Cricetulus griseus: one gene and its partner. The protein of the gene in region 1 interacts with the protein of each later gene in a pairwise test. Links are inferred from orthologs where the notes say so. Each region holds a gene or a part of one and is shown on either strand. Other genes may lie near its edges.

Region 1 (4,302 bases):
CAACAGTCAGTTTCCATTTAAGGGGGAAAAGGCAGTCTGGAGAGATGGCCCGGCTGGCATCATAGATGGCCCCGGGTTTCTATTTAAACGGGAACTAAATTACTCTTTAGTTCATCCCAGATGAGAGGGCAGCAAATGCTGAGTCAGGAGAGGAGAGGGGAAGTCTGAGGTTTGCAGCCAGGTATGGAGAGCTTGGAGTGAAAGCAGCCTCTGGCGGTCAAGAGACCCCCCCCCCATTCGCCCTGCTAACCGTTCAAGGTCGTCATCTCAGCTCCTCTCTCCTTGACTCAGCATCTCCCTTTGCCCAAGGGACTCCCGGGTTCTGGTCTCAAGCCCAAACTCTCTCCTCAGAGACGTGTTCCACTACTGTCCTCCCCCCATCTCAGAGGCCTGGAGGCCCCATCCCGTCCCACCCCGCAGCATTCACTAGAGCTCTCGCCCCGCCCTTCACGTTGTGCTACATTTGCCCCGCCCACATCCCTCGCCCCGCCCATATTGGGGGCGTGCTCTAGACATCCTCGTTTGGCGCCAAATACATAGAGATTCGACGACTGGGTTGTCGGCCTCGGTGTTCGGGCTCCGAAATAGAACCTCGGCCCGGACTGGACCGGAAAGCCCGAGTGGGAATCGTAAGGGATTCACCTTGAAAATCCCGGGGAGACCGTGGGTTCGAGTGGGGGGTGAGTGGCGAAAAGAAGAAGCACGGGAAAATCTGAGGAAATCTCTTAAGCGTTGAGAAAGCGCGTCCTCTCCTTGCCCTTTCTGTGGTAATTTTTGGTTATTATTGGACTTGGCCAGGTGACTGTCACCTTTCACTCCGGCCCTGAGGCATTCCCTGCCTGCTGTAAATCAGTCCGACCTGAGTCTTGAAGGCCTCCTCGGGGTTACCAGGGAACTAGGGCCTGGAAAATGTAAGCCTCAGGGGCCTGACTGAACCGCCTGCTGAGAGGCCACGGGCTTCTGACCCCTTCGCTTTCCCCTGCCACACCCCGCCTGTCCCCTGAAACCTTTCCCTTGCCACTCCCCCCAGTCTCCTGACGCCCCTTCCCGTGCCACTCCCCCCCCCAGTCCCCTGAAACCCTCCTCCCTGCTGCTCCCCGACAGTCCCCCGAAACCTAGGCTAAGTGCCCTACTTCAGATCCCAGGGTCGGGGTGGGCACATCGGTGATCCCGGCAGAGGAAGGCAGAACTGAATTCCCAACCAGTGGGTCTAGCAGACCCTGTAGCTAAAGGAGAGAGAGGAATTTGCTGATTTGTTTTTTTCAGGAAGGATAGTCTGTGGAATTTGGGCTAACCGCTCATATTGTGGAGAGCGGGCATGGTGGTGCCTGTAGTCCCAGAACTGGGGAGATGGATGGGAGAGGAGAGTCAAAAGTTCCAAGCCAGCTTGGATGGCCTATGTAAAACACGTACACATACATAAAAAAAATCTATCTCAGGAGGCAGAGGCTCCAGGGCTTCAACACCTGACTTTGATATTAAACGAGGAAACAATAAAGCAAGAACAAGATTATTCATTTTATTGCAATGTACACCATCGTGTCTGTTGCTTCCCTGGTTTAAAAAAAAAAAACAAAACGAAATTGTCACTGGATATTGTTCCAGCTAGTTTTATGTCAATTTGATACCAGCTAGAGTCATCTGAAGGGAGAGAACCTCAATTGAGAAAATGTTCCTGCAAGATCCAGCTGTAGGGCATTTTCTCATTTTCTCAATCTCATTGATGATTGAGGGCCCAGCCGACTGTGGGTGGTGCTATCCCTGGACTGGTGGGTGCTAGATTCTATAAAACAGTCTGAGCAAGCCATGATGAGCAAGTCTGTAAGCAGCATCCCTCCATGGCCTCTGCATCAGCTCCTGCCTCCAACTTCATAGCCTGTTTGAGTTCCTGTCCTGACTTCCTTCAATGATGGACTACAAGTTCCTTCCCAACTTGATTTTTGGTCGTGGTGTTTCATAGCAGAAATAAAAACCCTAATTTAGACAGGTATTACCATATTTTTACAAAATTATGAAACTAGTAAATACTATGGAATATATAGTTTTGTGAAGCAAAAGATACATACATTTACCTGTGTAGCAATTCACAACCAGAAATCAAGAAGGTATTTATCAGGTATGAGAAAAAGAAAGTCCCCCCACCCCCCACCCCGTTTGTTTTGTTTTTTTTGTTTTTTGTTTTTTGTTTTTTTTTTTTTATTTTTCGAGACAGGGTTTCTCTGTATTGCTTTGGAGGTTGTCCTGGAACTCTCACTATAGACCAGGCTGGCCTTGAACTCACAGACATCACCTGCCTCTGCCTCCCAAGTGCTGGAATTAAAAGCGGACCTCACTAACACCTGATGAAAATCCTTTTACTTGAAAGATACAAGGAAGAATGATACAAGGGTTTTTTTTTTTTTTTTTGATTGTTTGTTTTTGAGGGGTGTTTGAGATGGGATTTCCTTCTGTAGCTTTGGAGTTTGTCCTGTAACTCTCTCTGTAGGCAGATCTCTGAGTTCAAGGCCAGCCAGGTCTACAGACGAGTTCCAGGACATCCAGTGCTACACAGAGAAACCCTGTCTCAAAACAATGACAACAGAAAAAAAAAGGGGGGGGGAAGGGAGGAAGGAAGGGGAAAAAAGCAAGCAAGCTATGGAGAACAAGTCTGTAAGCAGTATTTTTCCACAACCTGTGCTTCAGATCTTGCCTCCAGGTCACTGCCTTGAGTTCCTCCTTTGGCTTCCCTCAGTGATGAACTGTGACTAGGGTGTGTAAACCCTTTCTTCCCCAAGTTACTTTTGGTCAATGTTTTATCACAGCAATAAAAAGAAAATTAGGAAAACTACTTGTTTGTTTGTTTGTTTGTTTTGTTTTTCGAGACAGGGTTTCTCTGTAGCTTTGGAGGCTGTCCTGGCACTCACTCTGTAGACCAGGCTGGCCTCGAACTCACAGAGATACGCCTGCCTCTGCCTCCCGAGTGCTGGGATTAAAAGCGTGTGCCACCACTACCACCTGACTTTAAATAATATTTCTTATTTTCCAGAATTGATTATTTTTCTGCCATTTTCCTTTCAACATGAAAGAGGATCAAATTGTGCAGGAAGAATCAGGATTCCAAGATGAGGAGGTATAATAAGAATGTTGGAAGTTATGATGATGTTCAGTTTTCCATGAAAATCAAATTTCTTGTTTAGGAACTGAAAGTAGAAATAAGACATACATATAAATGTGTAACAATTTCTTTGGCAAAGGGTGCTAAGTTTAGCCACTTAGCAACTAGTATGAAAGTTTTTGTTGTTTGTTTTGCAATAGAAGAGATCCAACCCAATACTTCTTTCTGATAGGTAAATGCTCTTCCACTGGTTATATCTCCAGCCCCAAATGAAAGCAGATTAATAACAACTTACTGCTTCCTGTGCACACTGGTTCTGAAAAGGATATCAAGATTTGTATTAAATAAAATAGGTCAGATGGGGGCTGGAAAGATGGCTCAGCAGTTAGTTCCTCTTCCAGAGGAACAGGGTTTAATTCTCAGCACCCATATTGGTTTGTTTTCTAAATATGTAACAACTTGTTTGAAAAAAGTGATTGATCCTACTTCAGTGTTTAGAGAAATGGACCTGAAGTATTATGGAATGACTAGTGAATGAGTATTAGTCACTCCCCAAAATGTGAAACATTTATTTAGATATGAAGATATAAGATACATTCTTTCTATTTCATTTAGGAATCTTTTTTTCAAGACATTGACCTGTTACAGAAACATGGAATTGTGAGTAATTTTTCGGTACAATATTAAACAGTCTGTTCCATTTTCTCAGCTTTGTCCTTACCAGCCCAATATAATTATTTTTTGATGTTTGTTTGTTTTTTGTTTTTTTTTTGTTTTTTTTTTTTTTGTTTTTTTTGTTTTGAGACAGGGTTTCTCTGTGGCTTTGGAGGCTGTCCTGGAACTAGCTCTTGTGACCAGGCTGGTCTCGGACTCACAGAGATCCACCTGCCTCTGCCTCCCGAGTGCTGGGACTAAAGGCGTGTGCAACCACCACCCGGTCCCAGTATAATTCCTTATTGTGAAGAGGAGCTGTCTGTCTTAAGTTGTTTAGCAGCATTCTTGGTGTTACAGAACAATTTAATCTCAGTATATGAGAACTGACCCCCCACGGGCCAGAGATTGAAACAAAGAAGCAGTCAAATCTAAAGTTGTACAGAATATAAATAAGGGGAACTTACTAACAGAAATGTGGCCCTGGATGGCAACAAGCCCAAGGAGAGCCCAACAAGTTGAGTTAGAAGGATATATTGGCTAAAAGTGACTTCATC
Region 2 (5,003 bases), about 1.2 Mb from region 1:
ACCTCACTGCCATGTGATGGAGGGACTCTGACCAGTGGGAGGTGAAGAGTCATAAAGATGGAAACCCAAGGAAGTATGACTTCTGAAAGAAGAGGCTGATGGCCAGTGAATCCCTCTGTCTTCATGCAGCACACAAGTGGACAGTTAGCAGCAGGGAAAAGGGTCAGGTCAGAAGCCCCTAGGCTAACACGCTGACCCTGAATCCCAGCCTGCAGAGTGGGTGGGGTCAGTTGCTGTTGTCATAGTCCCCTGGCCTCTAGTACTTCTTTACAGAGTTGAAACTGTGTCGGGGGTCATTCTGATCTCTATTGTGCTCAAGTAATACATGCTGGAAGGGAGAGTCAGCAAGGACAACTGCCTGAGTGACAGAAATCTCCCAGGCCCTGGCTGGGAGCCATCCAACCCAAAGCTGTGTACCCCAGGCTAGGCTGCTTCCTACTGTGGGGGAACTTCCTTCCACATTCCCACTGCTTGGTATGGTAGGTGCAACGGTCACTAACTTCATAGACACAGAGAGGTTAACTAACATTTCCACTGTCACATGGTAAGCTTCCTCCTGAAATCCATCTCTCAGATATTTCCCCACCCCGCCTGAAGAGATGAGAGCATCAGAGCTCTAAAGAGCTGGAACCTGTAAACAGGTGTTGGCTGTGATTCGGCTGGAGTATGAGCCTCCCAGAGGGACCTGCTCCTGAGCCCAGGCCCTACCCACGTGATCTCTTCCCCTTAGACTGCTTGGCAGCTAGCTGTAGACCAGGCAGAGTGAGCTACCTACAGTGAGCTCTGAGTGAAATGATCACCCTGTCCTTTGGGGGCTCTTCAGATCACTGTACCCCATTGGGGTCAGCCAGAGAAGATGACTGACTAGAGCAAGGACTGTGAGAAATGCCACAGATTCAGGGAACTCATCTGCAGTTCCAACACACACTCTTCCGAATGTGGGTCATGATGCCCATTTTGCAGGCGCCAGTGTAGACCCAGAGAAGACTATATGTCCAAGCTGGCCTGGCCTGATCCAGAGCTACACTCAAGTGTACAGAGGAGAGCTGGTTTGAGGATGACTGTAGTCCCCTGGCCCTGGCCTATTCTTCACACTGCTTCCATGTCAGCTGGGCCTGGATATGAGCCTCCACAGACCTGGGAAGGCAGCAGCCCTACCAGGAACATCACCCCACAGCCAGCTTTGGGAACTCCACGAACTGGCTGATGACAAGCCCCTGCTTGGGAGGCACAGAATAAGGCAAAGAAGGACCCAGTTCTTCTCCCATCCAGCCTGGAGCATCCCAGGCCCCATCAGGCCTTCTTGAAGGCCAGGAGAAAGGTCATTCCCAAAGGCAGAAGCCTCAGGGCCTCTTGACCCTCTTCCTGTTTTCACATCACTTCCCCAACAGCACTCATGACAGCCTGGGTCTGTCAGCTTGGCAGAGACCTGGAGAATGGGACCCCATTCCAGGACAGGCAGAAAATAATGGGGAAAAGTAGATGCCACCTTGGCTACAAGAATGATTTTAGGAACTCCGGATGGCTCTGGCCCGCTCCAGAGAGCCCCAGACCAGCCCAATGAACCAACTCACCCTCCTCAGCCATGTCCTTGTCCAGCACCAGTTTGCCATGCCTGAGGAAGTTCAATATGGGCCCGAAGTAAGTGGGGTCACGGTCAATGAGGTAGGCCCCGGTCTCATCCTGTGGAGATTAGCACAGGAAGTGAGAGGCATGCAAACTTCCACAAGTCCAGCCCCACACATAAGCTCAACTGATCACAAGCTGGAGAAGGACTGCAGAAAGAGAGATGAGATAGAACAACAAGGTGCTGGGCTCCAGCCCTGCCTCTGCCTTTTCCAGCTGTGTGACCTTGAGCCATCATCTGGCCTCTTGAGCATGTCTTCTCTCCCGAATCACCAGAGGACTATGTGTGAGCATAGGGTGTGACCATATTTCTGAGCGACCCCTAGCTCAACACAGGATTCAATGAATTCCCCTCCTGGGAAAGTTTCCCTCTTGGAGGCTGCTCCCCTGAGCTAACCCCACTATCCACCAGATGTTTGCAAGTTTCCAAAGGAGCTGCTCTCCGATTGGACACTTGCAGCCTGCAGGGAGGCATAGCCGGCATCAATACGACCCCATCAAGAAGCAGGGGACTCGCTCAAGGACATAGTGTGAGAGGTTCACAGAATGGGGGCCAAGGAACTTTGGCAAGTCAACTCCAGAGGTCTTGCACATGAGGACAGAGTCAGATCAGGGAAATCCATCCCACTCCCCACTCCTCCCAGGTCATTCGGGAGTTGGCAGGAGAGCAGGGTGAGCTCACAAGTGGTATCTGCTAGGCCAGGGCTCTTCCTTACATTAAACCCACCTCCAAGACACCCAGGCCTTCTCCACCCAGTTCCCTGCACCCCTCAGCTGCCCACACCCCAAGGGCAGGGAGAAGCAGCCTGCATCAACTCCTAACGCTGGAGTCTGCCAGGACAGCACGGCTGGCCGGGCTTGTAAGTCCCTCAGCACCGCCCCACAGCAAGGGAGCGTCCCGGATCCAGGGCAGCGCTCCAAGGCTCCAAATGGCCGCGGCCTGCGCTGTCCCGTTGCCACGGCAATGGGTACAGCGATCCCTCTCAGCTTCGCTTCCTACCCCTCCTCCTGCCCGGGCTTCCCGCCTCGGGATCCTACGAATGCTACACCGACCAGGTCGGAGGCCGAGAGACGCACAGGCTGGACAGCCTCAGAACGCGGAACCGGGACACCACCATCGGCGGGCTCACCCGGTCCGACTGCAGCTCTTCGCCTTGGCACAGGCGGCTGAGGAAGGACTTCTGCTCCCGACACAGCGTCTGGCGGGTGGTCAGGAACACCGTGCCCCCCACGTTCAGCCGCACCCACTTGCCCCAGCCGCCCCCGGCGCGGCCGCCCGCCCCCGCCGGTGGCGCTGCCTCCCCGGCCTCCATCCTCATCGCCAGCTGCGGTGTCTGCATCCTCCCCTCCGCTTGCTGCGGGGCGGGTACCAGGCGCGGGGTATGCCGGGAGCTGTAGTATGGAGCTAGGATTGGGATGCTCTGCGCTTGTCCTGGTGCTGCTGGGACAGCAGGTCCCGCCCCACATTACCTTTCTTGGCGGCCTGACACCTGGTCTCTCCCTTTGACCAGCCTGCTTGATTTGCAGAAGGCCAGAGCCCTGGGAAAACAGCGATCCCCGATCCGCTATTCTCCTCATTTGTTCTGTGTGCGGGGGGGGGGGGGGCCCAGCTGAGGAATGACTGACCTGAGAAAACTTTCTTCCTCCAGAGATTCCTATATATACCTGCTTTCTAATAGGTGCACGCACATGTGTGTGTGTGAGTGTGTGTGTGTGTGTGTGTGTGTGTGTGTGTGTGTGTGTGTGTGTGTGTGTGTGTGTGTGTGTTTTGCTGGGGATGGAGCCCACGGTCTCTGGTATGCTAAACCACACCAGCAATATTTCTTTCTGCCCCATGTGTCACCTCTACCTCCTAGATTCTTTGAGAACATCTAGTTGAATTTAGGGTTGTCTGAACATTTCTGTGTGAATATATAATATACATTACTTATTTAGGCTCCTGGTAGCTCTGTCAGGTTGGTACTGCCAAGATAGTGGCACAAATGGGGCTACAGAAGTAAAGAGACAGTAGTACATTTCCATACAAAAGTCTGTTTCCTCTGTTCTTTCCAGGGTTGTCAAGGATTAGGTCAGGGCTCCCACATTAAGCCCAGACCTCCTCCACCAAGCTCCCTGCACCTTTCAGCTGCCCACACCCCAAGGGCAAACAGAAGCAGACACATAACTCCTTTCCCAGCTGGATTCAGCCTGGACAGCAGGGCTTAGGAGGAATGAGAAGGGAAAAGGCAGCCTGGTTTGTGGGGATTGTGAGGCTGATCACAATGGTCACTGGTCTGCAGGGATGGAGAGAAGAGAGGGGTGGATCAAGTGGGATCAAGAACAGACATAAGTCTTCAGGGACAAGAGCCAGAGTGCTCTGGATGCCAGTCTTGGGCTAATCTGGAGGAAACAGAGTTTGCCTAAGGAGTGGATATCCAGAAGATGAAGTTCAGATATTGGCTTCCCTGATGCCATCTGCTTCCATAAATATGATAGGACTGAAGCTTGGAGGCAAGGCACATGGTAACCTGCCCATGTCTGTATGCAAGATGGGAGAAGGGAAATTGTGAATACTCCACCCCCAGATGCCTTGCCCAGTCCTTGAGGAGTATGGGCTGTGCAACAGGCCTGTGGGGCACCAAAGCTCTCTGCAAAGGAGGAATGGCCTTGGGGTGATGTTTTGGGATGGTCCCTCTGGCATTGGTGTTCCAGAGAATTATTCGGATAGGAAGGCGAAAATGGGGGGAAGCTGTTGTAGGGATGTGGTCTCTGCTTCCCCGCCCCCCCAACTGCTCAGCGGGATCCCAAGGACAGGTGTCCTTTTCAGGACAGCACAGCAGGTACCAAAAGTACCAAACACTGGACATGACTCAGGGAATGGCCTAGTTTCACTTTCTGTTGCTGTGATACAGCATCCTGCCAAAAGCCGACTCAGGAGGAAAATGGTTTATTTGGCTCACAATTCCAGGTCATAGCCCTTTGTTGTAGGCAAGTCAAGTAGGCAGGACTTGATCCAGCTCGTCAACTCCTCAGTCAAGGGCAGAGAGAAAATGAATGCATGGATGCTCAGCTCACTTTTTCTACTCTTACACAGTCCAGGACCAAACCCATGGAATGGTACCATCCAGAGAAGGCCGGGTCTTCCCACATCAGTGTATGTAATCAAGACAATCTCCTACAGACATGCCTACCAGCCAACCTGATTTAGACACATCTTCATTAATTGTCTTCATGGATTCTAGATAGTGTCATGTTGACAACTAAAACACACCACCATCCCTGGGGAGGTGAGTGAAGCAAACCCTTTTTGTAAGGATGGGGATCCGGTCTTCCTCCTCCAGCCAGGGTCCTGTTATGAGTGCCTGACCATAGACACCAACGCATTCAGCCAAGTTCAC

What was found. The genes of interacting proteins can lie anywhere in the genome.
Region 2: the proteins of Dmc1 (region 1) and Kctd17 interact in binary tests that used the Homo sapiens proteins (3 or more experiments, as listed by UniProt). The two-hybrid records come from large-scale screens. The link is inferred for Cricetulus griseus from reciprocal best matches to the Homo sapiens genes DMC1 and KCTD17.

The regions. Positions count from the first base shown.
Region 1 is NC_048595.1:376,764,085-376,768,386, reverse strand, and holds part of Dmc1 (meiotic recombination protein DMC1/LIM15 homolog), read left to right. Parts: intron 1-512; coding exon 513-629; intron 630-3,709; coding exon 3,710-3,754; intron 3,755-4,302. UniProt on the Homo sapiens protein: Participates in meiotic recombination, specifically in homologous strand assimilation, which is required for the resolution of meiotic double-strand breaks.
Region 2 is NC_048595.1:375,530,950-375,535,952, reverse strand, and holds the start of Kctd17 (BTB/POZ domain-containing protein KCTD17), read right to left. Parts: upstream 2,982-5,003; 5' UTR 2,967-2,981; coding exon 2,757-2,966; intron 1,684-2,756; coding exon 1,575-1,683; intron 1-1,574. UniProt on the Homo sapiens protein: Substrate-adapter for CUL3-RING ubiquitin ligase complexes which mediates the ubiquitination and subsequent proteasomal degradation of TCHP, a protein involved in ciliogenesis down-regulation.